Linked DNA regions of Oryza sativa Japonica Group. The protein of the gene in region 4 binds, or shares a complex with, the protein of the main gene of each other region. Links are inferred from orthologs where the notes say so. Each region holds a gene or a part of one and is shown on either strand. Other genes may lie near its edges.

The links.
Region 1: large ribosomal subunit protein uL5c (region 4) and large ribosomal subunit protein bL27c share a complex: the UniProt entries of both Arabidopsis thaliana proteins name them as parts of the 50S ribosomal subunit. The link is inferred for Oryza sativa Japonica Group from reciprocal best matches to the Arabidopsis thaliana genes AT4G01310 and RPL27.
Region 2: large ribosomal subunit protein uL5c (region 4) and large ribosomal subunit protein bL21c share a complex: the UniProt entries of both Arabidopsis thaliana proteins name them as parts of the 50S ribosomal subunit. The link is inferred for Oryza sativa Japonica Group from reciprocal best matches to the Arabidopsis thaliana genes AT4G01310 and RPL21C.
Region 3: large ribosomal subunit protein uL5c (region 4) and large ribosomal subunit protein bL28c share a complex: the UniProt entries of both Arabidopsis thaliana proteins name them as parts of the 50S ribosomal subunit. The link is inferred for Oryza sativa Japonica Group from reciprocal best matches to the Arabidopsis thaliana genes AT4G01310 and PRPL28.
Region 5: large ribosomal subunit protein uL5c (region 4) and large ribosomal subunit protein uL10c share a complex: the UniProt entries of both Arabidopsis thaliana proteins name them as parts of the 50S ribosomal subunit. The link is inferred for Oryza sativa Japonica Group from reciprocal best matches to the Arabidopsis thaliana genes AT4G01310 and EMB3136.
Region 6: large ribosomal subunit protein uL5c (region 4) and large ribosomal subunit protein cL37 share a complex: the UniProt entries of both Arabidopsis thaliana proteins name them as parts of the 50S ribosomal subunit. The link is inferred for Oryza sativa Japonica Group from reciprocal best matches to the Arabidopsis thaliana genes AT4G01310 and PSRP5.
Region 7: large ribosomal subunit protein uL5c (region 4) and large ribosomal subunit protein uL13c share a complex: the UniProt entries of both Arabidopsis thaliana proteins name them as parts of the 50S ribosomal subunit. The link is inferred for Oryza sativa Japonica Group from reciprocal best matches to the Arabidopsis thaliana genes AT4G01310 and emb1473.

What each region holds. Positions count from the first base shown.
Region 1 is NC_089035.1:41,095,134-41,099,589, reverse strand, and holds large ribosomal subunit protein bL27c, read right to left. Parts: upstream 2,786-4,456; 5' UTR 2,703-2,785; coding exon 2,394-2,702; intron 1,596-2,393; coding exon 1,494-1,595; intron 1,409-1,493; coding exon 1,232-1,408; 3' UTR 940-1,231; downstream 1-939.
Region 2 is NC_089036.1:9,030,358-9,035,230, forward strand, and holds large ribosomal subunit protein bL21c, read right to left. Parts: upstream 3,158-4,873; 5' UTR 3,112-3,157; coding exon 2,809-3,111; intron 2,338-2,808; coding exon 2,257-2,337; intron 1,709-2,256; coding exon 1,607-1,708; intron 1,524-1,606; coding exon 1,449-1,523; intron 1,330-1,448; coding exon 1,246-1,329; 3' UTR 1,000-1,245; downstream 1-999. UniProt on the Arabidopsis thaliana protein: This protein binds to 23S ribosomal RNA in the presence of protein L20.
Region 3 is NC_089039.1:104,682-108,645, reverse strand, and holds large ribosomal subunit protein bL28c, read left to right. Parts: upstream 1-1,164; 5' UTR 1,165-1,207; coding exon 1,208-1,388; intron 1,389-3,003; coding exon 3,004-3,236; 3' UTR 3,237-3,553; downstream 3,554-3,964.
Region 4 is NC_089037.1:1,440,463-1,444,825, reverse strand, and holds large ribosomal subunit protein uL5c, read left to right. Parts: upstream 1-1,642; 5' UTR 1,643-1,710; coding exon 1,711-2,013; intron 2,014-2,146; coding exon 2,147-2,347; intron 2,348-2,738; coding exon 2,739-3,074; 3' UTR 3,075-3,327; downstream 3,328-4,363. Other genes in the region: beta-carotene hydroxylase 2, chloroplastic, read left to right, coding at 268-357; probable polygalacturonase, read right to left, coding at 3,405-4,087, 4,186-4,256, 4,352-4,363. UniProt on the Arabidopsis thaliana protein: Binds 5S rRNA, forms part of the central protuberance of the 50S subunit.
Region 5 is NC_089037.1:9,831,522-9,835,139, reverse strand, and holds large ribosomal subunit protein uL10c, read left to right. Parts: upstream 1-1,914; 5' UTR 1,915-1,975; coding exon 1,976-2,638; 3' UTR 2,639-2,761; downstream 2,762-3,618. Other genes in the region: mitochondrial hydrolase YKR070W, read left to right, coding at 230-289. UniProt on the Arabidopsis thaliana protein: This protein binds directly to 23S ribosomal RNA.
Region 6 is NC_089035.1:9,870,928-9,874,784, forward strand, and holds large ribosomal subunit protein cL37, read left to right. Parts: upstream 1-1,541; 5' UTR 1,542-1,587; coding exon 1,588-1,696; intron 1,697-2,396; coding exon 2,397-2,719; 3' UTR 2,720-2,869; downstream 2,870-3,857.
Region 7 is NC_089035.1:31,965,469-31,970,444, forward strand, and holds large ribosomal subunit protein uL13c, read left to right. Parts: upstream 1-1,676; 5' UTR 1,677-1,771; coding exon 1,772-1,996; intron 1,997-2,557; coding exon 2,558-2,743; intron 2,744-3,024; coding exon 3,025-3,195; intron 3,196-3,668; coding exon 3,669-3,788; 3' UTR 3,789-4,021; downstream 4,022-4,976.

The DNA.
Region 1 (4,456 bases), on a different chromosome or scaffold from region 4:
CCTATGGCAGGCCACCTTTATTGGACAAAAATCCCACCTGAGGCTCATGCCCCTCTCTGCTTTGTTCCAGCGAAAGCAACACAGCAGATAGACTAGACTATGAAAGAGAAGAGGGGCCAAAAACCACAGTAACACTCCTTTATAATTATTTGATGAACAGATGACGATCAATACCTAATCCACAAGCTTCCTTAAAGAAAGAAAAAGTCTAAACTTTCTCTAATAATCTAAGGATATGGCATATGTTGGTTGTTCCCCTCGTTTGAGTGGAACTAATTACCACCATCTTTTCTTTTGTTCTTGAGTGATAACCGCAGAATATCACGGTACTATTTTTTTTTCTTTGATGAAGTGGTTATCTATCGTCTTCAAGTGCTGACAATCCGATTGATCTTCAACATATTGTGCTGTTTCTACAATACTAGCAGTGCCCAACTGCCCATGACAGCGATGAAATTGATTTTCATAATAGTGAACCTAAATGCATCCTATTTTTCCTGGTAAAAGATGTTCCTTTGAGATGTATGTCAAAGTTGTGAGCGAAAATTGGAGGAAGGATGCAGGCGTAGAACTTACCATCCCAATCACCAACTCACATACTTTACGTTGTAGAGAGTAGAGATAGTAGGTCCCTCAAGAAGGAATCAAGGAAATGCAGATGTCTCATTGCAGTCTTGCGGCAACCAAATCAATTAAGAGGCTGAAACCCCACTACAGCCCTACATGCCAAAAGAAACTACTTTTGCAAGAACCTCTTGTAAAGTAGTTTCAAATACGGCCTGAACCATATATCATACCCCCAGTGATGATGTTGATCCATTGCAAATTGCAATTCCACATGAATACCACTACTTTCAAGCATCAGATCAGCCCACCACAACACCCATAACACAATTACGTGGAACTTGTGGTACCGGAATACTGGAATAGACCCATCCTAGTCCCTAAAGCCTAGCTGCCAGGAAAGGTACATGCATACAACAAGTCGAACAGGACTAACCAATGAGTTGAACATGGGCCTTGTATTCATCTCACTGTTGATGATTCAGTTGGAATAGACCCGCCCTAGTTCCTAAAGCCTAGCTGCCAGAAAAGATACAGCAAGCCGAACATGGCTAAACAAGGAGTTGAAGATGGGCCTTGTATTCATCTCATAGTTGATGATTTACATTCCAAACATTGTTATCAAACATGGATTGCGAAAATGGAGAAAAACGGGGCAGAGAACTTATCAGCAGTCTGCATTGACCTCAGGACTTTCATCTGCAGCTGCCAACACCAATTGCACCTCAACAATTCCCTCTGCTCTTGCCTTTTTGCGTTCACGCTGCATGCGGAAGTACTCTCTCTTTCTTGCTCTGTAACTGTTTGGGTTCTCAGGTTGTTTCTCGTATGGGTAAACACTTACCTGTAAAAGAAAAGGCAACAGAAAACCACTTAGATACAATTATAAGTAGATGCTGACAAGTTATAGCTAGGATGCAGACTTTCACCTTTTTCTTGTCTGGTCCATATTTCTCGAACTTTACGAGGCCATCGATCAAAGAAAAGAGGGTGTGATCCTTGCCCATTCCAACATTATTTCCAGGATAGACCTAAAATGACCAATGAAAATGTATAAGAAAAAGCAAGAATATGTCCGTAAAATGTGAAATTACTGTATGAAACGCAACTGCTCATAACATGTAGAAACATAGACTATTGCAGAGGGTGTGTGTGGTGGTTCAGGGATAAACTTCAAAGAAGTTGCATATGCATTACTGAAACAGCGGGACAAATGCCAGAACTTGGAAAGTACATCGAAAGGATGCATGCATGCCTTGCAATACGATACAATACATAAGAGGAAGTAGTTTAGCAGCACATGCAACTGTTTTTACAGGATACACACATTTATGTAGCACATTCTTGTGCTATGTTAGTTCATGGATGTGAAGAAAGTAACTATCAGTTGAGTCTTTAGTGCAGAAACAGCACGTCCTAATATCAAAGTGTACTTCCTCCTTTTCTCTCTGCATTGCATTAGAGTGCCTGAAACATCTAGTTCCCCTGAAGTCTGAAGAGTGTGTAATTCTTGGCCACATCCCACGATATTGGTAAGAATGTACCACATGCGGCCACGTCTTAGCAAACGGGTGGCGTTGCATAGAATAACAGACTTTCTCTAGGACCAACTTTGGAACACGATCATTGTCATGCCTTTTTGTTAAAGAATATTCACACCATTCCTGAACTCTGAATTGTGCAGATGTTAGTTAACACAACAACCTCACCTAAATTCACAAATTGTTCAGAGCTGGACGAAGCTATACTATCAGTCAAAATTTGAGGAGAAAAGTCGAACACATGAAACATCCAAGAACCAGTAAGTAAAGGAAGAGGATGGTGATGACCCTGGTGCCGCGCTGGCGGATGATGATGGCGCCGGGCTTGGCGACCTGGTCGCCGTAAATCTTGACACCGAGGCGCTGCCCGGGGGAGTCCCTCCCGTTCTTGGTGCTCCCGGCCCCCTTCTTGTGCGCCATCTGGATCGTCAGCCGCCGCACCGGCATCGTCATCGGCACCCCCATCCCGACCCCGCCGCCGACGGAGAGCGAGACACGGTCAGCGCGGAGGAAGGAGGCGGAGGAGGAGGAATGGCACGGGGAGGAGAGGGACATCCCCTTGAATGCTCCCACCAGTGTGAACGCCATGGACGCCATTGCGCTCTCGAGCAGCGGCGGAGTCGCGAGGAGAAGAGAAAGAGAAGATAGAGTGTGGGAGCACAGCGGCGAGGTGATAACGTGGGAGTGGAGAGGAAGACGTGGGCTCTTTTTTTTTGGGTCGGGATCACCCATTTACGGCCCATCACGCGGTTGGGAATCCCTTTCCGGCCCACGTACTTTGGCCCAGCACACGTAAGCGGGAGGGAATGACGCGCCGGCCCAGCACGTGGGTGGGAATCACGTGCCGGCCTACCGCAAAGCCTTTGTGGGCCCGATGTTGTGGGCTTCGTGGAAACGCGAGGAAAAGGGCCGGCCCATACATCTCTTCTTTTTCTTTTTGCTGGACAAAATTAGATGGAATTACTTTTTTTTTTCAGTTACATTGCAGACGCACCCACGCACACACTATTACACAAGCAACACCACACTCATAGCCCTGCGAATGTGTCCCTTAACATGCGCTCTAAGAGAGAGAAACTAGCGGAACATTACTAATTAATCTCACTAAAATCTTGTTGAAAGTCCACTTGCATATGCGTAATATTCGTGGGCGCTAGGATTTGAACCCTGGAGGATAAAATCATATACCCACAACTCCACCACCACATCACTTTCGCTTCCCAAATTAGATGGAATTATAGTATTGAATTAAACATTACGGAGAAAAAAAAGAGAAATATATTAGCAGAAGGTAACATGGAGAAAAAAAATAGAGAAATATATTAGCAGAAGGTAACAGAAAAGACCAAAAATGAATCATGAATTTCAAAGAGAGAGAGAGAGAGAGAGAGAGAGAGAGAGAGAGAGAGAGAGAGAGAGAGAGAGAGAGAGAGAGAGCATAAGTTGTGATTCTTGTGGCGAAAACAACAAATCAACAATATTTCCTGGAGATTGAAGTCACTTTGCGAGAGGGAGGAGAGGAGTGGAGTTAGGGCCACCAGAATTCCAGAAAGCATATGAGATGGAAGCTAGAAGAAGAGGAGGAGGAGGTGTGGATGAAATCTGAATTGAGTGTGTGGATGAAGTGAATCGAAGAGCCCCAATTGTGAGCAAGAATGATGGCGGGCTTGACTGCAAAGGCAAAGTAGGCTGGCTGGGGATTGATTCCTTGTTGTTGTTGTATGGACACACCACCCCCACCGGCCATGCCCATGCATGATTCATCCTTGACAAAGTGTGCCTCGCTATGGAGTGTGGATCTGTGGATCCAATTATAGCTAGCCCTCCTTAACCCCACCATCCGTTTTCCACTGTTCATCTTCAATTCATGATTAGCCCCCCCCCCCAAATTTTGATTTAGATTATTACCACAGATTATCTACTTAATTATAGGAATAAATTGTATACTATCTTCATTTTTTAATATATGACGCCGTTGACTTTTTCTCACACATTTAACCATTCGTATTATTTAAAAAGAATTACTTAATTATAATTTATTTTGTTGTAAGTTGTTTTATCACTCAAAGTACTTTAAACATGATTTATATCTTATATATTTTCATAATTTTTTTAATAAGACGAATGGTAAACATGTATTTAAAAGTCAACGATTAAAAAACGGAGGGAGTATTTTCAAAAGCGAACTTATAGATAGTACTCCCTTCGTCCCAAAATATAAGCATTCATGTCTATGAATCTGGACAATTGTATGTTCAGATTCATAGCTAAAAGTTGTTATATTTTGGGATGGAGGTAGTAGCTTAAAATTGACTGTAACTTCATCGAATATATAATCCTTCATGGTTAAT
Region 2 (4,873 bases), on a different chromosome or scaffold from region 4:
AGGGACGGAGGTAGCGGCCCAAGCAAGGGTCTCACTCTCACTCACCGTCGGCGGCGGTGGAGCAGAGGCGAGTAGGTGGTTGAGAAACGGGCACCGATGGGATTGGGGATGGGGATGGATCAATAGATATATGGCTTCCATTTAGTGATTGGACTCCATAAATATAATGAAAAAGCCCTTCATTTCCTATTTTTCTATCTGCGTAAGGCGAAGCGACGCCTTAAGGCATAAGGCGTGCTGGGGTCACCTTACCTTGCCTTAACACCCATGCCTTGCACCTGAATTTGATACTTCCTTACACCTGGAAGCACCGCGAAGAGACGACCTTTTTTCCGTTGTTCAACAATCTACTATAGCATCATACAACCATGTTGACAATTAACAAGTCTTATATATCAAGAAAATTGGCTAGCATATAACAAATTAGTGTGATTATATTTAGTTTATGAACCTTTACAGTGGTCAAATTTTTACTTCAACAAGGGTTTCAATTAGGCAAAAGATGTCTGAAAACCACTATAATTCAGAACTGTAATATGCAATTAGGGGTGAAGGACTACTGAAACAGTCATAGTTTGCCAAAAGATTATACGCCTTATGCCACTGGTTATCTTTGGTAAGGATTCAAAAGGGCAAAACTTCTGCAGTTCTTCATGAACCAAGGTTCTAAAAAGTGGTAAGCAGAATCCATGCAGCCACCTGCCTTGTAGATGCTTATATGGCCTAAGTCCTAACCAGCTGCTTATGTGCCCTAAGCAGTACAAGGTTGCACACAAACACCTTATATATGGCCTTGCAGAACTTCTCTTAGAACACTCGAATAAATCATGACCAGAACTGCATTGAACATAGTACTGTAACTGATCCCAAAATATTAGGACATAGCCCGTTCAATAAACTAAGCACCATTGGTACAGATGCCAAAAACAGTGAAATTAGCATCAGTAGTCACAAAAACTGTATAAAGTTACACAAACCAAAGCTAAAACATCCGTATCGTGGTAAAATGCTCTCTCTTTTTTTAAGCACAGTGAAAATAATACAGTTGGCTAGGATACACAATATCAGAATGAACAAAACAGATGGTGGAATAAACAAAGGATGGAACAACTGGATGACTGGCAGCACTCGAACACATGAACAAAGCAAATTTTGTTCAAAAACTGTTCTTCCAGACAAGAAAAGGTAGCACTCGTATTCTAATGTACTACCAGTTGTTTGTAACTACAGAACTTACAATTGCTCTTAAGCTGGAACATACTCAAGTATCGGGTCAGCAGGGAAGTCCTCGTATCCACTTATGCCGGTAATTCTTAACCTTGTGTTTGGCTGCAAAACAACAGAGATTTTTAATCTAAAAGAACTCTAATTGCTTCGCTGTAAAAACTGAATCAGTATTTATCAATAAAATTCTACCTTTCTTGAAGAAGGTAATTGGAAAAACTTACCTGTCTGTGACCAAGTTTCCTCTGGTACTTCTTCTTCTTCTTATATTTGAAGACTATCACTTTATCATCCCGTCCCTGATATAAAAATATTGGGGAGACATCAGGGTCAAGTAATTTTGAATATCCATGATTAACCCGACAACATACAGAGGACATACCTGTTCCTCAACCACTGCATGAACAGCAGCATTGGTCACCACTGGCATGCCAATGTAAGCCTTGTCTCTAGTTGATACCAGTAATACCTTGTTTAATATTATCTGCACATCAGCATTATCCAGAAGTGAGAATTTCTGGGAAAACAATACTAAAAATGCCAGCAACATAAGCCAACGTATGGGTCCTATGGGATTGGAAGCTTTGCATCAGAGGAGTAATTTTAGTTAGAAAAGGAACGAAGCTAATATATGCAGGCTACACAAAACTTATCGAAAAGTTCTGAATAAGATATTTATGTGAAATCAGGAACTGGGATTGAAGTGTTATAATTACAGGGAAGTGACTCTTTTACTTCTAAAATGAAGTAGGTCACTACCACTTTCCATAATTTCAGAATGTACAACCTTCCTCGTTGTTTTGAAGTTTGTTATTGCATCTCATGGATGAAAAAGAATAATAACCAAATAACCAATACTATATATTTGCCTTTTCCTAATTTACAATCACCTTATCTAGAAGCCACCTCAGCATCATATACCTTTTAAATTTATGGATTAATACAAACCAACTAACTAGCAAAAATAGGCCAAATTTCTAGTTAGGGTGTAACAAGTATCCTCCTGCATCCTCTAAAGTGGAAGCACCAGACCTGATCATTGACATTGGCGCCTTTCAGCCTCTGCGTGTATATATACCTTCCAGGCATCACAATGTACTGTCTCGACCCAATCTGCGACAGAAGAAAAATAATCAAAATAGCTCCCTCGTTATTATTCACAGCGCTCATACAAAACAAAACACAGAGAAACCCTCCTCAGATGCACTCCTGCATATTTCAGAAATGCATCCGAACAATTCTCTGTAAGACTAGTATTGTATCATTCGAAAACACTGTAATTCTCTGCGCCGTTTTCTTAATGGTGTGTCCTGTACATACTAATAATCGGCGTGCGCGCATTCCTATTGGCGCGTGAATCCTAAGCTTCTTATGCAGCATAGAGTAAGCAACACAAGCCTGAAATCAAATGCTCACTTCACCGCAAGAAGCAACGCAACTAGCGCCAAATGCCTGTGTAATGATATTATTTAAAGAATTCGAGGTAATGTAGCATGAACAAATGTGATTCTTTTTTTGTTTGTTTGCAGTGAGCCGAGCAGGACTAAATCTGAAATATTGGCGGCAAGGGCAAGCTAGCCCCACCATGACAACGGCGAAGATGTCGGCGTCCTTCCCGGCGCCCGCGGCTGCGATCTGCGCCTCCACAGGCTCCGGCACCGCAGCCTCCTCTTCTTCAACCTCCTCCTCCTCTACCACCTCCGCCTCGGCCTCGGCCTCCACGGGTGCGGGCGCCGGCTCCTCGGCGGAAGCGAGGAGCCGCCAGCAGCGGCGGGGCGCGGACGCGGCGACGGGGAGGGAGCATCGCGAGGCCGGGAGGGACGGGGCGGAGGGGAAGGCTAGGGTTTTGGAGGCGAGGAGGCGGAGGGGCAGCGTCGCGGTGGCCATGGCCGGCGCGCGGGGGGGAAGAGCAGTGTGGATGAGAGTGTGGGCTATCGTATCGGAAAGAAAGAAGAGGGATAATATTGTGGATAGGGAGGTTACCCTGAGCCGTTCGATTGGAGATCAACGGCTCAGATTAGATACCCATGAAAAACATGAAACTATGCCCTACTAGTTTTTTAGCGATACTGCACGTACTCATTTTGTTTCTCCTTTCTAAAGTTTAGAATCGTTTGATTTAATCAGTTAAAGATTATAAAAGAGTTGGATCGAATGTGTTGATTAGACCATAAAGAATATGCGAATTAACACGAGTGATGAGAACTCTCGTGAACTCTCGGACGAAAGAGCCAAACTGAACTACTACGCCTCCTCGACCCCTCTTCCTCACAGGCTCGGGTGACCTTGCCGCCGGCGAGGTGAGGGAGAGAAGTCCGACAAACTCTCTCTTTGTAGGTCAATCAATTTAGTTGGGTTTTTCTTTTAGTTTGAGCGTGAAGGTCGGCGATGTTGGCCTTCTAGTCCTAGGTTTCATGGAGAAGGCAATCGAAGTTTCTTCTCTAGTGGTATCCCTCTAAAACACCGGGTAATTCTCTATCACCGTGAGTTAGGAGAAAGCTAGACCTAGTTAAGGGAAGTTAGGCAAGTTATCTTTCTTTTCTCCAGCAGGCTTTTCGCAAGGATGATAGTTTTCTTCCTCTTTATTGGTGGCAAACCTTCAAGAAGCAGTTGAGTTTTGTTTGCTATATGCTTGGATTCCTCAACCTTAGGCTATGGAGGCCCTAATAAGGTAAGCTTCTTGGTGCTTTTTTATGCAACTTGCCATGAAATCTTTGTCTCTATCACCAATATCAACGATTAGGTTGTCGACCTTGATGGTTCTGCTCCAAGAACAATCTCATTTAGCTCTGGATGTACTCATCTATGGTATTGATGAACCTTTTCATGAATTGTCATGGCCTTAACCTCTATTGTTGTGAAACCCTATTTGGGAATGCGTCAAGGCAACATCTTCTGTAGCTCGCCGTGTCCATGTAGCACCCACTGCCATCAAGTATGTCACCAGTCACCACCAATGTGGGCATAAGACAGAGGAGGACCTGATTGTTGTTTTTTTTTTCAAATCTTGTTGAGTCCTCCTTTGCTTATATTTTGACCTAGCCATCTTAAAGAGACTATCTTCCGTACTCCCAGTTCTATCAACAATGAACATTGACATGTTCAGTAGTCACATTTCTATGGCATTGCTTCGACTGTGTAGCCGTAGCCAATGCAAGGTATAGCGCACTATTGCTTGGCCTGTTGCTATATGCTGCAGCCCATGCAAGCGCATCAAAGGCTATCAAACAACATTGATAAACTGTGAGACTGTTATCTAAGTTTGTCTTTAAAAACAAGAGTACAAAGGACAACCTTTTTATTATTTGCAATGATAAGTTTTCTAAATTATTAAGAAACTGTGCAGTACGATTTCCAACATAAAAGAATATCACTTTAAAGGCCATGACAATCGATGCTGAATCGATTAAATACCATAGCTTATATAGAAGATGTTTATTATGCCATAATTTATGGCCTTTTATCATTCGCAACCATAACTTTTTCCAAATTATGCTACCAAAATAATAATAATAATAATAATAATAATAATAATAATAATAATAATAATAATAATAATAATAATAATAATAAATCAGCTATAGAAGTTAAATAGCAATCACCTTCACAACCATGATTAGCCTATATATGTAAGATATTAATTACAACA
Region 3 (3,964 bases), on a different chromosome or scaffold from region 4:
GTCCTCTTCCTGTCTTCCTGGCCATCAAGGAGGAGAGAATCAACTCCACATCTTCTCGGGTGACCTCTTTGATAGCTCCTTCGGCGAGGGATGGGTGGGCGGAAGTCAAGGAGGCTGTTCTTGAAGACGGAAAAGAGAAGTAGGGGCCGGCTCGACCTCGACCCGGTGTTGCGATGTCGTCGCGAGCATGCCGGTCTGTCTCCTCCGAGAGCTCCACTGTCTCCACTTCAAAAGCCATCAACGAGGAGGAGCCCAAGAGCGATGTGGAGGAGTATGAGGAAGAGGAGGAGGTGGACCAGTGGGTAGAAGTGTGCTATCTGGAATGGAGGTTGATGCGAAGGGGATCTGGAAGTGGGAGCCAGACTTTTGCTACTGTCCCCATCTTGGATGCTCGCGAGAATGTGTGGGAGTTGGTGGTGTGCGACACGACATTGTCCCTCTAGTTCACTTGCTTCTTCCCCAACACCTCCATCAACAACGTCACCCTCCGCATGCGTACTCATCTTCATCACTACCGCTTGAGCTCAAGTTTTGCCGCCACCACCGCAGCACCCCCTTCCCATCCCCGCGGCTCCTCACACTCCTGACACGACTGGGCTTTCCTGCAGATAGCTCATGAGCTCGAACTCGCCGGCTCCCTCACCTACCTCCTCTTCTCCCCCGTCGTGGACCACTGGAGCCACCTCATCACTGACCTCCCACCACCATTACCACCTCCCGTGGATGGGCTCGCTGGCCGCCGCCCCTCTCCCCACTGGAGGAGATGGGAAAGAGAGGGGGGAGGTGGAGAGATGGGGAAGAGAGGGGACAGGTTGGGAGGAAGTCCACTTTAAATTTTAATTTTCTGATTGGTATGCCACGTTAGTGAAACCAGTCATCCATAATACCATGAGACTGACTTGGAAGGTTTTTCCAAAATGGGGGGGAGGGGGTGAAGATTGCTGGTATTGCGGTTTAGAGATACCATTAAACTCGACGTAAAATAAGGGATAATAAGTGGACTTATCACTGTGAGTAATACTAGTAGTAATGAGAGTTGGGCTTGGGCCGCCCTTTTCTACAGTACTACGATATATGGGCCCCTGCTCACACAGTACATAGAGAGACGATTATGATAGGATAGGAGAAACAAGTTGTACGCCACGCCGCAGCCGCACAAGACTTGATCCTCTTCTTCTTCTTCTTCTTCCTCCAGGCTCCAGTGGCGATGGCGACCATGCTCTGCTCCTTCACGCCCGCCACCAGGGCTCCGCTCCTTCGCACTTCCTCCTCCTCTTCCTCTCTCGGCTTCGCCACCTCGCAACTCGCCGGCCTCAGCCTCGGCCTCTCCGCCGCAGCCACCACCGCGCCCTCCGCCGCCGGTCCCAAGCTCCACCCCATCCTCGCGCGTACGTCATCTGCCTCCTCCTTCTTCTCTCTGTTTCGAGCCATCCACCCGCAGATTGACATTACAGTTTTATATTACACCACCAATGTCATTTCTGCTACTATTAAAGTTGTTACTTTATCCTTCGTTTTTTTTTTGCGCTATCCAATACTCCACTGTATATATACTACTACTAGAACCAGATGACCTATTTGTTAGTAATTGATTGCTTTAATCTCTCGAAAATAGACTAGCTGTCAATCTATTACCATAAACTCAGATCTTTCTTTGTATTTTTAAGAGAATGGAAGCTTTATTGAATTTGGTCGTTCTTTGCACCATGTCAGTGCACAACCAATAGATACCACACAACAAGAAAAACAGAACTAACTCAACGATTAAGGACCTAATATCGGAAGACTAGGTTGCCGCTCATGTGCCTGGGTAAAAAAAAAAAACCTTGACCACATGCTCCAAATGAAGACAAGCCGAACAGACAAAACCCCTGTAATCTGGCTTCTTGAGAATAATCCATGATCGGAGCCAATGTGTGATCAAGAAAATAACCTGCAAAGAAGAAGAAACAATTTTCCTGTCAAAAATCACATCATTCCTTTATAGCCAAATAGCCCAACAAGTCAACTCCTAGTAGAAAAGGAGGCCTAGACTCTTTGTTTTGTCGCAAACTCCATTGTCCAGACATATGTGACACACTCCTAGGTGAAGAAATGTTCGATGCAATCTGGATTAAAGACCAAACTGATCGGGCTAGCCGACATTCAAAAAATAAATGCTTTATCGTTTCTTCCTTGTGGTAAAAACAATAGGTCTTATTCCCTTTTCAATTCCGTTTAGCCAGGTTATCTTTTGTTAACACCACCCCTCGACATAAATACGATAGAAACATTTTCACTTTGAGAGGGATTTTTAACTTCTAGATATGTTTGTTAAAATTGGGAACTCTTGTATGTGCAAGATAATGAGTTTTAACCAAGAATCTTCCATCAGGTGTTAGATTCAATTTAAAGTCATCTTTCTCGTGTGACAACACTATATTAGCAATGCGTGGAAAGAGATGATTCCACGCCACTAACTTAAGGCCAATAATATCCTTGCGCCAAGTGAAATTTAACAGGGTTGTTTAGAATATATTTGAAATGGTTGCTTGTTTATGTCTGACAACCATCTCTTTGTTTCTCTAAGACATAAGCAGAGCTTCTTCTTCTTACTAGTGTATATAAGAAAGAAGGGGGAAAAGAAAAAATATAACTATTCTGGCCATTTCAAGTTATAGTTTTAGTTTTATTCTAAGTCAACCATTCATAACTTTAACTATCAATTTCTTATTTAAAAAGATAATTGTGACTTATCAATTTCTAGAAATTTGTAAAGTTTAACAACATGTTAATTGTACTATATATTATGAAGGTACTTTTCATGATGCATATATAAACACATAAATATTATGATATTAAATGTTTGGCTTATGATAAAGTTAAGGACAAGTAATTTAAAAGGGTGAGATTATACTTTATCTTTTGTTTGCATGATGCCACAAATTATAGAAACTAGTAGTAGTAGGAACAAGATGGCGTGTATGGTGATGTTGTTGTATGATGTGGGGGTGGGTGACTCAGGCCGGATATGCCCCTTCACGGACAAGAAGACCAACAGGGCGAACAAGGTGTCCTTCTCAAACCACAAGACGAAGAAGCAGCAGTTTGTGAACCTGCAGTACAAGAAGCTGTGGTGGGAGGAAGGCAAGCGCTTCGTCAAGCTGCGTCTCTCCACCAAAGCCCTCAAGACCATCGAGAAGCATGGCCTCGACGCCGTCGCCAAAAAGGCCGGCATCGACCTCAACAAGAAATAAATCAAATCATCATCATCATGATGCATACATACATGTATTCTCTCATCAATTGCCGCTGTGCTGAATAGACCAGAGCTGTATGTAGTCCATTATTAAATCCATTCATCTCGATGATGCAATTTATTGTAGAGTACTACAGTATGCATTCATCGGTGGTGGTGGCCGGCTTCGTTTCCTTAAATTTCCTTTTATCCCGTGTTGCTGCTGCAAGTCCGGCTCGAATTGTTTGCTACTAGTGTTTCATTTCGGTCGAGTTCCTAATTAATACTGTATGTTGGTTACGAATTATAAGATGGATGGATGTAACTTGAGCAGCATCAGGTCGTGCAGTTGGCATCTTGCGCTTTTCACTTTAGAGTGTCTTCCAGTCTAAGCTGAAATTGATTAATTATTTTATTTCCTTTTTGGCTATTGATATTTAATAAGAGCCTAAATGAAAGAATTAACTTGTACAAAATTGAAAAGCTGTTTGTTTTGTACAAAAGGAACTCCTACGCCAATATTGATTGTTCTACTGCTATGGCCTGTCTGGTTTGAGATAGCTGAAATTGATGGATTGTTTTATTCCCCTTTTTAGCTATTGATATTTAATAAGAGCCTAAATGAATAATGAACCCCTACAAAATTAGAAGGTTGTTTTTTTTCTCTCTAAAAATGTAGAGACGAGAAAAAGGTGTTGAGTTGTAGACGTGGAGCAACCCGGCAGCTCCACACACGCGCAACCTCTG
Region 4 (4,363 bases):
TGCTTCCTCGTGCCCCATGCTACCATGGATGCTTGTTGGCTTACTCCTGCTCCAACGGTGTCCATTTGTCGAGTAGTTTGCATACTTGCAGTACTCCTTTATTGCAAGCATGAATTTGTGATTGGGAAGCTAATGTAGAATTTGAACTGTGTTGATATAAAAGGACTGGAAATTTTGAAATGTTCTAAGATGTATTACAAATATTTGTGATCGTCGGAAAAATTGTCTGAAATGTTCTAAAATGTCTCTGTTTTATGTGGTTGACAGGAGCTGGAGGAGGTGGGTGGGATTGAGGAGCTGGAGAAGGAGATCAAGAGGAGGATTAAGAGGAAAGAGACCTTAGATGCGATCCAATGAGAGCTACTTATCACACATTTTTTTCTTTTTATTTGCTGTCATCTCTTATTAGTTTTTGCTTCAGTGGCAATTGTAGCCTTGTAATATGCTTTTCTGTCCTGTTAATAGAAGAATAATTTAGATAGATATTTGGAAGCTCATTTGGACGGTGGAGCACACAGGTATTAGAAATGATGTGCTGGGGCTGAATGGCTGATGCTTTTGCTAGTACTGCTGGTAATGATATATATTAATCAGTACCATTCTGAATTTATTAGTCTGGTTGAGTCGTGCTGCTGACAGTGAGGTGTTCACTGATAAAATGTGTACTTTCTTTTATATTCTTTATTTGCCGACATTCTGTATCTCTTGTTCACGAGATGTGCCGGATGTAAATATGAAAGTGATGCATGGCTGATTACTTTTTGACCGTGAAGAAGAATTAATGAAGCTTATGCACACTAGGCGGTTCCTCCATACTGCTGAATGGCTGTTCATTAAGGCCCTGACAAGTGACAAGGTCACAGACTGACAGTTACTTCTTGAGGTCAAGGAGGTTAATGTAGTTTATCAGGATTAGGTTGCAAACTGACAAGGAAGATATTGTCCGTTGTGTTTCTACTCTTGGTGTCAAGTCGATCCTCACAGGATCACGGTCGTGGCATTGCTGGTCCTTGGTAGAACAAGGTAGGGCAAGCGCAATGTTGTGATCTGGGACCTTTCAAATCAGATCCTAGTGATTGTCCCCTGGTTATAAAGAACTGCATGTTACGGTTACTGCATGATTAGTTAGGCATAAGCATGTGACGAGGATCCTCGTCGTGATATTCCGTCCATTTTTCAATGTTGATCAAGCGTGGCAGATCTCCTGCTGATCTGCCAGCAACTGTTGCTAGGTTCAGAGTTTGCTTGATCTTGTTTAAGCTCTTCATCGGCGTTTTTTATGTTTGAAGTCATCGTTTAATGGCATACTACTACTATACTAGTGATGTCCTGTAGTGCATTAGAAAATACAGAATGGGCCACATACTCAAACACTGTTACCGGTTGACCAAAACAAGGCATATATCGAAATTCACACACTGCAGACTTGCAGTTGTTGACTCATGTAACTTTACCCTTCTCTTAGGCCGTGTTTAGTTCACCCCCAACTCAACGGTTTTGATGGGCCTAAGGCCCAAATCAACGGTTTTGATGGGCCTAAGGCCTGAAACCATGTCGAACAGTTCGATGGGCCGAACCATGACGAGAAAGCCCACCTGCGACACTGGACAGCAACGGCAGCCAGCCACAGCCAACTCGCCTTATCCCGTAATCCATCCATGGCATAAAGCTCCCTCCTCAGCTCCCACCTCCGTCTCCGCGCACGCTCCAATGGCGGCCACGGCTGTGACCCTGCCGTCCTCGCCGGCCCCCTTCCCCGTCACCACCACCGCCTCCTCCTCCCGTAACGTCCGCCTCCTCCTCCGCTCCCCGCCTCCTCGCCGAGCCCTCCGCGTCGCCGCCTCCGCCGCGGCCGACGCGCCACCCAAGCCGGCGCCGCCGCCGACCTCGCCTTCGGGCATCGTCCTCGTCGACCCCACCGAGGCACAGAAGGTGCACCGCCTCAAGGCTGTATACGACCAGAAGGTGGTCCCCCTCATCACCGAGGAGTTCGGCTACACCAATGTCCACCAGGTGTTCGACCTCTGTCTCCCTTCTCGCAATTATAGGATAGACATGGCCATTTCTTTGCGGAACTCGGGAAATTCGATTGTTGTTCAATAATTGAGCTTAGAGGAGTGTGTTTTGGATTCTCGATTTTATTCAGGTGCCCAAGGTTGAGAAGATTGTAGTGAATTGCGGGTTGGGGGCTGAAGCCGGTAACTCCAAGGGGCTCGAATCCGCCATGAAGGACCTCGCCATGATCACCGGCCAGTGGCCCGTCAAGACGAAGGCCAAGAAGTCCGTCGCCAGTTTCAAGATCCGCGAGGGGAACACCATTGGTATTGCCGTTACGCTCCGCGGCAGGGTGAGTCCTCTGTACCTCTGGCTACTTGCGATGCAGACATTGACAAATTGGGGACTGCAATGTTGTATCAATTTGGGATTTGCATGACAGTATAATAGCCTAAAGTATGTGTGAGAATTGCAATTACTCCATCCAGTTCCAAATTATTGTCACCGTTGGCCGTCAGTATTTTACATTGACCACAAATTTTAAATGGTTGGACGAACGAAAGTTTAATACCTATCTATGTGGAGTAACAACCTTTAATAATATGGCATATTTTTAGGTATATGCATTTTATTTTCTAAAAAATATAAGTGATCAAAGTTCAAATATGAATAGTATCCAGTGACAAGTATTTGGGAACCTAGGGAATATGTTTGATCGATGAGCTTATTTTGGCTTGCTGCAGGTAATGTTCAACTTCCTGGATAGGCTCATCAACCTTGGGCTTCCTAGGACCATGGACTTCCTTGGTGTCAACCCCAACAGCTTTGATGGCCATGGCAACTTCACCATAGGCCTTCGTGATCAGGGCGTGTTCCCGGAGATCCCGTACGAGGTCGGTGGGAAGAAGAATGGAATGGACGTCTGCATCGTCACCACCGCGAAGACCGACAACGAGGCTCTCAGGCTGCTCACCCTCCTTGGCATGCCGTTCGCGGAGCACATCAAGTCCTCCGTGGTGATCCGGAAGAAGAGGTTGAAGCGCCACCACTTCATGAGCAAGGGCAGGGGAAGACGGTGATTGCAAACCGCTGCCTAGGCACGTTGAGCTTTGCTTCTCACTTTGTCAATTGTCATTGTTTTTGCAAAGTTTCGTTTAGAAGTTTGATGATTTTGTTATCTTGTCACGTGCTGTATTTACTGTCAGAAGACAAAATGAAAAGGCTTTGCTTTGGTCAGGTCATTCGCAGATGAGCACTCATAAATGAATTGGGTGTAAAGAGATTATCCGGCAGCATTTTCAAACTGCTTAACTTTACTCACTAAACCACATCATATATATCTCTTTGGTCCCAAGCATCTCATAGCCCAGGCCATTACCCACACCATACTATCATCCTATATCAGTATTTCAGTAGCTACACGTTGGCAATTCAGGCGGACCGATGACGAGCTCTTCTTCAGGGAAGGCGCATGGCTTGCCCGCCGCCCCGAGCTCCGGGCACGGCACCGGCGAGACGTCGGAGGCGACACCCTTGACATCGGTGCAGTTCCATTGCAGCTTCTTGGCGTCCGGCGCGAGCTGCGCGGTGACGTTGGACATGCAGATGCCAGTGTAGGGGTCGTTGGGAATCCCCTCCATCCTGCCGGCCATGGTGACGTTCTCCGCGAACACGTCGCTGTAGTTGATGCCGGTGACCTCCGGCAGAGCGTTGGGGTCGGAGGAGTTGTCCGGGTGCTGGCCGTAGTTGCCGGTCATCCAGAACACCCACTTCATGGTGTGGAGGCTGAGGCCGCGGACGAACACGTCCTTGACGTAGCCGCCGCGCCCCACGCCGGACTTGATCCTGACGGCCGACTCGGTGTCGATGGCGACGTTGTCCACGGCGCGCACGTCGCGGATGCCGCCGGACATCTCGCTGCCGAGCGCGATCATGGCGCTCGTCGGGGAGATGCAGGTGAGCCTCCTGATGAGGATGTGCTGGCTCGGCATGTTGAACTTGATGCCGTACTGGTCCCAGCCGCTCTTCACGGCGATGCAGTCGTCGCCGGACACGATGTAGCTGTCCTCGATCTTGACATGGGAGGAAGAATCTGCACCATGGACAACAAGAGCTCATCACATCTAGCACAAACCAATGCTTTCCTCATGGCAGCATTGATCAAGTGCAGTGTGACTTGTATGTTTATACCTGGGTCGATTCCATCGGTGTTGGGCGAGTTGAGAGGTGCTAGAATGGTGATGCCGCTGATGGTCACATTGCTGGCGCAGCACGGAACACAAAGAAGGTGAGCATCATGATCTATATCTAACCGTTCAGAAACTGAATTCTGGTTGCGAGTACTGATGATTCTTACGTGCAGTAGGTG
Region 5 (3,618 bases), about 8.4 Mb from region 4:
ATACATGCGCTTTTGTGGGTGTTTTGTGGGTCTTGAACTGTAGTCCCGGCACATCCTTGTTACCGATTGGCTGTCATCTACCAAAAGCTTCTTCTGCTGTCTGCCGATGCAGTTTTAAACTGCTTGCAGTTTTATTAATCAGAAACATTGACAATCCATTGTTGTGGCCTCATGCCATTATGTTTATTAGTCTGCATGCTGTTTTATTTACACTTGCTATGTCATGCAGGTTGTTGATACTGTTGAGGATGCCATTAACTGTATTTTGGAAAAGGAATGTATACAGTGACAGAGTGACACTTGTTCTGAGTATCCATGCTCCCTTCATTGTTATTTGGCATGCATTTTGTGCCACACCATTGTTTTGTCTAGCAATTCTGGAGCAATTGTTAGCCGGAGTTCCATCTCTGATTCATTCCACTTGTTTAAGTTGGGACATCAGAAAATATGCTGATGCGCTATAGTATTTTTTTTTTCCTGGCTGAGAGATAGGCCGGACATTATATATGTAGAATCGTCAGGGTTTCAGGGCAGCAGAGCTGCAGCAGAGCTAAAAGTGAATTTCACCCTGTACCAGACGTTCTTGTTTCCCTGCATCTTATTTCTTGGATTTCAGTACTACCAATGACATTATTATATGAACTATACACTTCCATTATCAAAACCATCATTTCATGTTAGGGATGGCTTGAAGTGCACACGAGTTATGGAGAGAATGGTAAGCATCGGATGTTTGGTTTTCTGTGAAATTGCGTTGAGCATGCTGAGTCCGGAACAACTCCGTGTTTACAGCATCAGAGCAGCTGCTGTTGCTTGATCGTCGCAGTTTATATCCTTTCCACCTGACATCCTTGCAATGTTTATATCCATTTTGATCGTCGTACAAGAGATTCGCATGGTTTTCTTACCTGTAAAAAAAAGTTTGAATTATATATATATATATATATATATATATATATATATATATATATATATATATATATATATATATATATATATATATATATATATATATATATATAGTGATGCATCTACAAATCGGGCGCTCGATTTTTTACAAAAATCAGGCATTGTTTCACTAAATAGATCGAAAATGTTTCAATATTTTTAAAAAAGCTGAAACACAACCAAATCACATCGTGAAATATTTTGTTACAACATATGAAACAACAGTTTCCAAAAAAAAATCAGGCATTGTTTCATCCTATATAAAAACAATATTTCAGCAAATAGCAAAGGATGTTTCAAATCATTGCAACATTTGATCATACATAGTGAAACATCACGAGTACACTTGCTAAAACATTGTTGGTGGAAAAAAAAATGAAACGGATTCCTTTAATAAAGTATTTCCTTAATGTGCGGGTGATTTGTTATAACGACGCGTGTGGTGGGGCACGTGGGGGGGGGGACAACGCATAAGGGGTGGGAGCGTGCGGGAGGCGGCGAGCGCCCGATTTTTCTACCGCTGATCGGGCGCCTAATCGCTGTCATTTTCTTATATAGTGATATCTATTGTGTTGAATAATTCAGTACACTGATGTATGTTATGTTTTATTGTACATATCAAGAGTTTTTGAACTCAAGAAAACAATAGTGATGTATGCTGTGTTGAACAAGGCAGTGAAGATTGGAGTTGTTGGTACACGACTTCACTCACTATGGTTTAAATTGACGTCTATGAATACCACACATACGCGTTTGCTCTATGCCTCTATTTTTTTTTATTTGGAACTCTTAATCTTATTTTCAACCGCTCATGGATCAAGATCGAACGGCTATAAATCCTCAAGCAAAGGTCAATCTCCACGGAAGCTTCTTTCTGTGCAGCTGACCGAGCTGAGTTCACCATCTTCTCAGGCACTGACGATACGGTCCCACATAATCCAGTGAGCCCCCCGCCTCATCTTCCCCACAGATAAGCTCTCCCACTCCACTCTTTCTCCCAACCCGCCATAGCTCCCGGCCTCCGAAGATGGAGACCTCCTCCTTCCTCCGCACCACCCTCCCCACCGCGAAGCCCCTCCCGGCGTTCCAGACCCTCGCACCCCGCCCCCGCCCCCGCCCGCTCCGCCGCTCCACCATCAGCGCGGCCATCACCCGAGGCCGCAAGGAGGACACGGTGGCCGCCGTCCGCGAGCAGCTGGAGGGCTGCTACCTCCTCGCCGGGATCCGCTACGAGGGCCTCACGGTGAAGCAGCTGCAGGGCATCCGCGACACCCTCCCGGAGACCTGCCGGCTGCTGGTGGCGAAGAACACGCTGGTGGGGAAGGCCATCGAGGGCACGCCGTGGGAGGCGCTCAAGCCGTGCATGAAGGGGATGAACGCGTGGCTGTTCGTCCACACCGAGGAGGTCCCCGCCGCGCTCAAGCCCTACCGCGCCTTCCAGAAGGAGGAGCGCCTCGAGGAGACCAACGACTTCGTCGGCGCGGTGTTCGAGGGCAAGTTCTACGCCCCCGGGGACTTCAAGGCGCTCGAGACAATGCCCAGCCGCGCCGAGGTGTACGCCAAGCTGCTCGGCTCGCTGCAGGGGCCCGCGACCTCCGTCGTCACCACGCTGCAGGCGCCGGCCAGGGACGTCGTCTCCGTGCTCTCGGCGTACGTGCGCAAGCTCGAGCAGGAGGTCGGCGCCGCCTGATGGCTGTTGAGAGATGGTTTTGTGGCTTCGTTTCTCTCATCTCACTCATTTCTTGTAGAATTCCTGTACTTTTACTGCCTCACGTTTGAATTGAATCACAAAAGTTTTACCTCTTACAACGCATGCCTACTGGTCTGATTTCATAAGATTACCGAGTTCTGATGTTATTAGGATTACGTTGCGTACTTAGAGGGAATGCTTGTTCCACAACTAGTGTTTTGATAATTTAATTTTACCTGTAGAGACTACAGAGATCAAAGTTTAGTAGGTTGAGGGGCAATGGCAATGCACAATTAGAATGGTCAATAACTACTAGTGCTTGTGTAGTTGTACCATCAATCAGTGTATCCAGGTTTACAACAAAGTTGTTCAAAGCAGTATGATGAGATGTTTTAAAATCATGAACTTAACTGTGCTCTTTTTGTTAAGAGCAAACCTCCTTGAAGTGAACAAAATTAAATGATTAATTCATCTTTTAGTAACAGAATAACACTAATTAGAGTTGGAAATTCTTCTGAATTAGCTTCTGAAACTTACTGTTGGTCACCAGCTCACCACATACCTAATTTGTATCATTTCTGTCTGAACGCGCAGTGGATCAAGAATAGAATTGGCAAAATTGATGATCACATGGTCACTTATTTGTTTGATACTGATTTCTTCTGACAGTCATGGTATTGTCCTAGGTTATTGTACTTGAGTGATAGTTGTAGTTTTGCAGGAGTGACTACCAGGCATGTCAATATGCCAATATCATTCGCCCAATGGATAAGGATGTGAGAGGCTCTTGAGAATATAGAGGAAAGCTTGTTAGGACCAAGTTGCAGTCTTACGGATGTGAAATTGCTTTGGTATGGGAAACCATTTCTTTGGTCCATTCCTGAAGATCGTGTTGTTTGGTTATAAAAGATACATAAAAGATACATATGTCTCTAGCAACATATTGTGATTTGGCTGCTTAGGATCTATTGCAAGCTAAA
Region 6 (3,857 bases), on a different chromosome or scaffold from region 4:
GGGCATATGTAGATGTTTTACCAACACGTGTTACCAATCTATTCGATGTCCAAACTCTATTATAGATCACCAACCATGCAAAATCTTGCTCTTTCATGGGGCCCATGGCTTCCAAATGAGGGTATCAAATTCTGACTTTGTTGTGCCTAGGAGTTGCGCTTTGTAGGCTGATGCCACCATATACTCACCATGGTTGGTTAGCTTCCAAGTGGTCGTGTCTTCCTCGCCCTCTACGAGATGCACTTCTTGGACTGCATTCCAGACAGTGACGAGCTGACTGATTAGTTTGGTCATCCTAGTTGCAATCGCCGATAGGTTGATGTCGAGTAGCCATTGGCCAGATTTGGTGGCCTACTGTAGAGTTCTGTTTTTCTTCCAGAAAGTCGCTTAGACCAGAGGGGCCAACTTCCTTAAGCCTTCTCCCTTGCAACCAAGCAAAGTCCCAGAATTTCGCTTTTGTACCATCTCCAACTGTCGTCGTCGTTCCCACAAAGAGGAGTTTGCCAATGTTGTCGCAAGGCGTCTCCGACCCCACTCAAAGCTTTCTTAGATAAACAATGTAGCAATCAGTGGCGCTTGGCGAGCCCATGGTTCAATTTTTCGTTTTCAGTATTTGTATTGGGGTGCTGATATACCGAAATTTGGTCCAGAATTATTTGAATTTTCGAACAAAATTTGGTCAAATTTGAATAAATATTACTAAATTCACACAAAAGAATAAAAAAAACTTTGGTCGAACCGGAAATTTGAACCCTGCGAGCCAGCCTGCGAGACTTGTCGTAGATTCTGTAAATCTTCTCTGACACTGATACAACGATGGCTCGTGCATCATCCTCATCCTCCTCTCCGGCAGCATTGATGTCCATGTCGAAGCTACGCTCGGCTGGAGGATCTCTGCACGCTCCATAATCTTGATGGGTGTCCGCGAGCTGAAGGAGCAGAAGCTTCCATCCCCAATGGCGCACGAGAGCTGACGACCCGGATCAACCATTGGCAGCAGCTCCTGTACAGACACCTCCTCGTCCTCGATGCTGAAACTGCTCTACGCCGGCGACGGCGACGGCGACGGCGACGACGAGGAGGAGACATTCTTGATGCGGTACACGGCGGCGCCGGCGCGTGCTTCGGCTTGGAGTGGGAGACGAAGAGGTTGTCGCTAGCTGCTCTTCTCATCACCGATGGGCACCCGCTTGGCCGTCGAACGGGAGGTTCTTGTCGTCGGCGAGCTCCCCCACCTCTTGCTATCCACGTCGAACGCAGGATGTGGCGGCCGGCGGCGGCGTAGGACGCGACGGCGAGCGCGGCCGGGCGGAGGGGACGCCGCCGATGCGGATTGTCGCCGCCACCCGCGGCGGCGGCGGAGGCGGCGAGAGGAGAAAAAGAAAATCAAAATCAAAATTTCTCTCCACCTATGACATGTGGGCCAACTGCCAAGCAGCCTTACTTGACGGAGATTAAATCTGGCCGTTGATTCTCCATCGGACGGCGGAGCGCTCACAGCAGCACAGGCTTATCTCCTCCCTCCGGGCTGATGGGTGGATAGGCTGACGACGGGCCAAGAAGCCGAATCCCACACTGCCCGTGGCCATGGCGCTGCTCCTCTCCCCGACCGTCTCCTTCCTCGCCTCCTCCTCCGCCTCCCCGCCTCGCGCCAGAGCTCTCCCCGCCTCCGCCAATGTCGCCTCCACCATCCCCGGTAACCTCCGTGAACGCCTTCTCCGTACCGGGACTTTTGCGCATAAGTTACTCGGGTTGTGGGGTGTTGGTTCTTGGATTGGATTATGCTGAGTGGGTACGAGGCTATCCATTGTTGTGAGGTGTGATTTGTAATTCGGTGGGAGGATTGGTCTAGATATTTGACGTTGGTGATTCGTGGCGTTTCTGATTCTCTGGGATGCGGTTGGCTCGTTAGGGAATTTCTTCAAACACGTCGTGTGCAGATGCAGTAATTCGTGGGAGATTCCGTGCATTTATCATCTCTGTACAAAGCTAGGTATAATTCATCTCAGTGAACTCTGCAGATTCTCGAAGCTTTGGTTCTTTCGTGCTTAAATGATAATATCAGATGCTATGTAAGCACCGGTCACTGGCAAAGGGTGACATTCGTAGTACACCCTACATTTGGGGCCTGATTGTTAATAGATGAGTAGATTTTACATATCTGTGCTCTGCTAAGATTCATCATAATATGTAATTGAGAACACTAGGATTGTTACTAGTTATTGTACTATATACTATCCATGAAGTGGCACACATGAGCTAGACTTATTAGCTTTCAAGTTTCTTATATGACGGAGATTCTATCAAAATTTTGAAAGTAGCATGCATGTACTCTGAATTCTATATCTAAAATGATGCACATTGAGGCTTGCCATTTGTCCTTTCTGATGCTACAGCCCCAAGGCTCCAGTGCAAGAATCTCTCCTCGCAGAGCCCTCTGAATGCTTCTTTCACCAAGAAGAGGCTAGTTTCTGTCCATGCCTCGGCAGAGGCTGGCGCAGAAGAAGCTGGCACAGATCAACCAGAGGAGCCAAAACCCACGGTTTCGATTGAGACAATGCCGCTCGAAACTAAGCAGAAGATGATCATGGAGCAGAGGGCGAAGATGAAGCTGGCCAAGAAGCTGAGGCAGCGGCGCAGGAGGCTTGTCCAGAAGAGGCGGCTGAGGAAGAAAGGTAGATGGCCACCATCCAAGATGAAGAAGCTCAAGAACGTCTAACCAGCAGTGATGTCGGTCGCTGTTCTTCTGTACACCTCTATGTTCTGTTCATCCGTCTCTGTATTTCCTAAGCTGATGCCCAGCGAATTTTGCTGTTCAAAATATGAAACACAATGTTTGCAAAATGTGATTATTTCTTTCCCGATGAAATTTCATCTTGTATTTTTTAGATAATGGATAAACCGGTCACCGTTAAAAACACACAAAGCCCAGTACTGAACAAATTTTCTTCTAACATGTCCCTCCTTTTTCTCCTTTAGGCTTTAGCTGTCCTACAGAAGTACCACTAAATCTAATGTGTGTTCCCATAGTGGAAATATCATATGCACCTTGATGCCTTCTGTGTTTGTCAAAAACTCAAAATCATAGCAAATTTCAAGAAGCCTTGCTGTGCTGCACTCTATATTTGTGAGGTATTTGCCTGTATATACACTTCCATGATGTGTTTTGTTAGGGCCTCTCACAACTCTTTCGTCTGACCTGATGTTGATTAAAGCACAAAGGATCAACCTGGACAAGGAAATAACTGGAGCAAATTCGGGTTTGTTTGTTGTTTGCCACTTTGTCAGGCACGATGTGAACAATCTGAAGAGTGCCATTTTCGATTTTTTTTCTGATGCCCTTCCTGTTGATGTGGTTGTAAAATTTATCTGAAATTTAGCCTTCTTGAGCCATCTTTGTGACTTGATGGTGTACCGTCACAAGTTCTTGAAATGTTAACCACGATGTTTTTTGTGGAAACAAAATTTGTAATCTCTCTATCGTAGGAACTGAACATGGCCGTAGCTGACTATGTTTTTGACCTTTTTCAGCATCAGTCTGACAGTCTCATAAGATGGATTCCTAGTTTCCTAAGTTGCTGGAAAGAATCTTTGTTTGCTTGCCTTGCTTGGCTACATGGTGTTGTTGCCTGCATGTGTTCTACTGCCCCCACGCTTCTCTCTTTAGGGCCCTTGATGCTTCGATGCCCAAGGAAGGAACAATCACCACATAACCTCACAAAACTCCTTTTCAGTTATTAGTTTTTTTTTTGGTGTGTGTGTAAGAGTAACTAACCATTTTTAGTTTTTGTTATAAATATTTTGATGTTTTCTGCTGAAAGAACTATAAAGAAGATGGTAGTACAAAATGGACTTGA
Region 7 (4,976 bases), on a different chromosome or scaffold from region 4:
TACCTTGATGGTACCTGTAAAGTTCTCTTTCATTTGGTGCAAAGGAACAATATTGACCCTTTATATTTGCTATATACGAATGTGTAACATATGAATTTGTGATGCACCCGGTGCTGCAATCTTATCAATGAAAATGATATCATCTTCTGTCCTTTGCACCGTAGGAAAACATGGACACCAATTCTCCAATGATCTTACCTTTTCAGTTATCTTTATTTGTCGCCAGAAACATAGCCTAATTTTGGGTATATGATCCTATATCACCTGTAGTGCTGACTTGCTTGTGTGTGTGGACAATTTAACATGGGGCAATTACTCATTTGACCCTATTTTGATGTCTAACTATCAATTTGACCTTACTTTTCTAGGTTTGCTCATTTGACCATGCTTTTTAAAATTGAAGATCAGAGATGACCCTATTTTGTGAAGGGTAGATAACGGTGTTAACTAAGAGGGAAATTGTCCGTTTTGCCCCTGCTCATTTACCATATTATATCAAAGTTTTTTCTTCATCGGGACTTTTTAAATATTTGCAATGATTTTCATGGCTTTTACAGATCTGAGACAGATTTGTCTTCAATTTAACAGAATTTTACACAAATTTGACAGCATATTGTCCAACAGCAAAGCATATTGTCCAACAGCAAATCAGATCCAAATCCAACAATAAATTCGTATCCAAATCCATCAACAAATCCAACCACAAGTTATCCTCCGTCTCTCGTTCCACACGACGCACGACGGCAGCCGGCGGCGCCGCCCCTCCGCGCGGCAACAGCCGGCGCTGCTGCCCCTCCTCCACCCTCCGTGCGGCAGCAGCCCCGCCGCCGCTCAATCTCTCCGCTTCGAGCACGGCAGCCGCCGCCGCCGCCGCTCCCTCCTCCTGCGCGCCGACGCCGCTACTCCTTCCCTCCTCGCGCGGCCGCCGCCGCCGCTCGCCGCTCCCTCTCCTTCCTCGCGCGGCCGCCACTCCCTCTCCCTCCTCGCGCGGCCAACGCCGCCGCCGCTCCCTCTCCTTCCTCGCGCGGCCGCCACTCCCTCTCCCTCTACGCGCGGCCAACGCCGCCACCGCCGCCGCTCCCTCTCCCTCCTCGCGCGGCCGCCGCTACCGCTCCCTCTACGCGCGGCCAACGCCGCCGCCGCCGCCGCCGCTCCCTCTCCCTCCTCGCGCGGCCGCCGCCACCGCTCCCTCGATGCGCCGCCAACGCCGCCGCCGCCTCTCCCTCCAGCCCGGTCGGCGGCAGCTCTCCCCGTCACCGGCGAGGTGGGGATTGGGACGAAGAGCTGGGGAATGGAATGGGAATCCTAGGGTTAATTTGTAACACGGGGGTATTTTGGTCACTTTAGGGTAGTATTTTTTTTTTCTTTTTTCTAAGTGATGTTCTACCGGTGAAAGCAAAACAGGTCAAATGGAAACTTCAATTTCAAATAACAGGGTCAAATAAACAAACCTAAAAAAATAAGATCAATTTAGTAGTTGGCCTTTAAAATAGGGTTAAATAAGCAATTATCCCATTTAACATATCGGAATTTCTACGCGTTTCTCTAGCTTTGATGCATCTGTGGGCTGCAAAGCCCAGCTAAGCAAAAGGCCCATCTCTTCCTCTTCCCCTTCTGGCTCCCTCTCCCCCCCTATCCCCTTCTTATCCGCTCTGCTCTCTCCACCTCGCCTCCCCGAAACGAAATGGCAGTGGCGTTCCACTGAACCAGGCCAAGCCAGACGGACAAGACTTCGCCGCAGCCGCGTCCTCCTCACCGCGCCGCCGTCGCAATGGCTACGGCCATCGCAGCCTCCGCGTTCCTCTCCTCCGCCTTCGCCAGGGACAGGCCGCTCCCCCGCCAGCGGCGCGCGGCGAGGCCCGCGACCCGCCGCGCCGCCGCGGGGGGCCTGTCGGTGCGGTGCGAGCAGAGCGAGAAGCAGAAGAGGCAGCCGCTCTCCGCGCTCGTCCCCCGCGAGCAGCGATTCATGTTCGAAGGCGACGAGCTCTGCGGCCCCGTACTAACCCTCACCTCTCTTTCTCTCTCCCGTATACATTCTTCTCTTTCTCAGTTCAGAAAATGAATAGTAATGCTACATTCCTTGGATAAAGGGAAATTTTACCGTGATTTAGGATTGCCGCTTATTTAGGAAAGCTCAAGATTAGTCCCATTCATTTCTAAATCCGTAAGTCACTTCATCTTGCTCTATTGGGTCAAATCCTTTCTTTACATGAATAATGTTAGGGAAAATACACAATGTTTTTACATGTTACTATACCGTATAGACCACCATCTTATTTTATTTAAAGTTATCTAGTTGTAATTTATTACGAAAGAGGATTCCATAAAATGAACTGAAAATAACATGGAGGGAACGTTGGTCTTTCTGAATTGGTCGCTAACATTGTGTTGTATTACTCAACAGTGTTCGCACCTACATGACTACCATATCTTTTTATCTGTGGATGTTTAGGTTTGTGAAGTTAGAATTCAGTACGGATACCATTCTTGTGTTCTTTCTCTCTTTTCTGTGCAACCTGTTCTGTGTAGTGATCGGACCAAGGAATTTAATTTGCAGGACATATGGAACACAACATGGTACCCTAAGGCTGCAGATCATGTAACTACTGAGAAGACATGGTATGTTGTTGATGCAACAGACAAGATTCTAGGTAGGCTTGCATCCACCATTGCAGTACACATCAGAGGAAAGAATGAGGCCACATACACTCCAAGTGTGGACATGGGGGCTTTTGTTGTTGTGGTATGTATGTTTCTTGAAATTAATTTATAAAGTTAAATAGTGCACACAATAAGATCCTCTGTAGTCCCACAAAAGGAAAAGAGGTTTAGCAGCACATACAAATAAGCACCAAAAGGTATCTGGAAGCTGAGGTCCACCTGAAGGCATTTTGAAGCTGATTTCATGTATATATATTTATGTTACTGTGTGCTTTTAATACTAATGCATCTCTGAAGAGTAATTGCTACGCATATACTATTGTAAGTTCCTGAACTACCATGCTGAACTCTATGTTCACATAGGTTAATGCAGAGAAGGTTGCTGTTTCTGGCAAAAAGCGGTCACAGAAGCTCTACAGGAGGCACTCTGGACGGCCTGGTGGAATGAAAGAAGAAACTTTTGATCAGCTTCAGAAAAGGATTCCGGAGAGAATTATTGAACATGCAGTGCGTGGCATGCTTCCTAAGGGCAGAGTAAGACATCATCTCTTAGAGCTCTTATCTAGTCAGTTTCATCAAGTCTTTTTGACCTTAAGTCAGCCTACCTGGGTATACATATGCTCTTATCCTTATTTTTGGTCAATTTCTAATACATATCTGAAAATGGGTATCCTCGTTCTGTTCCATTATACTTCATTATTGTGTATAATTCCCCAACTTTATATACCCTGTTCATGGAAATATTCGCTCTAATTGAATGCCGAAACGGCGTGGGCTAACGAAGTACTAGATGTATTCTCCCAAAACTCCTATGTTGCCTGTAAGACATCTTATGATTGCCTAAAGCCTTTTACTTATGCCTAAGTTCATTTATAAAAAAAAAAAACGTTTACTATGTCAACCTCTCAAGTTCTCATATGTTAGTGACACTGACACATGTAATCCGACCAACTACAGCGGTTGTACGTGCTCTATGTAGCCTTCTCAACATTTTGAACATTTTGCAGCTGGGAAGAAGACTGTTTACCCACCTCAAGGTGTACAAGGGAGCAGAACATCCCCATGAGGCTCAAAAACCTGTTCCACTGCCTATCAAGGATAAAAGAATACAGAAGTCTGAGAAGTAGATAATTCCTGTGGAGACTAAGAAAGACACAACAATCTCACGTAAATTCCTCCCCTCGAGATTTTGTCCAATCTTTGGAATGTGATGCATCTGTCTGTTTGGGGAATGGAGTGTAAAATTTTTTGTAATTTACTTCCTCCAAAAGTTTGTGTTTCTAAGTCATAGTTCTTGTTGATTACATATCATGTACCTAATACCGTACGATTTTAAGCAATCCGATATTTCCATATCCAATTGAGTAGTGCAATTTTGACCTGAGATGAGCTTGATGTGTCATTGTTTGGGGGCAAAAGTGTTCTCTTTTTTCAATGGGCATCAGGTGTTTCTAAATTCTCTTAATAGTTGATGTAGATCTGTTAATTAATTGCACGTCCGTGTTTATCTTCCATATAACGAAAAAGTTGACAGTACCAATCGTGTGCTCAAGTAACACCTATTGTACCATGTACTCATTCTGTAAAAAAAAAGCCAATTTAGATGAAGATCTGATACCACCTAAAAATAATGATTAGGAGGTTATCCAGATTTATATTAGGTGGTATCAAATTTTCATCTACGGGGTTGTTTAGATCCAGAGGTGTAAAGTTTCGACGTATCACATCGGATATTATATAGAGTGTCGCATAGGGTGTTCGGTTACTAATAAAAAAAACTAATTACAGAATCCGTCAGTAAATCGTGAGATAAATTTATTAAGTCTAATTAATCCATCAATAACAAATGTTTACTGTAGCACAATATTGCTAAATTATGGAGCAATTAGGCTTAAAAGATCCATCTCGTAAATTAGTCGCAATATGTAAAATTAGTTATTTTAGCCTATATTTAATACTTCATGTAGGTGTTCAAACGTTTGATGTTACAGAATAAAAAATTTTAAGGTGGAATCTAAACAGGTAGTTTTTTCAAGGAAGAAAGTAATTGCGAGAACATAGATTGAAGTTCAATTGAACAGAGGCGGCATGGCAGTGAGATGAGTAGATCCCGGAGTGGCCGGGTCGTCGCCTATAAAATTCAGCGAGATTCATTCGAGAGCGCGTCACTGCTTACCTAACCCCACCCAATCACCCCAACCGAACCCCGCACGGCGCACCGGACGCCGTCGCGTCCGGTCGCTCGTCCTCCGCGACCCCACCTGAACAACTGAAGAACTCATCATCCGTCATCCCTCCCCCTCCCGCCAGTTACC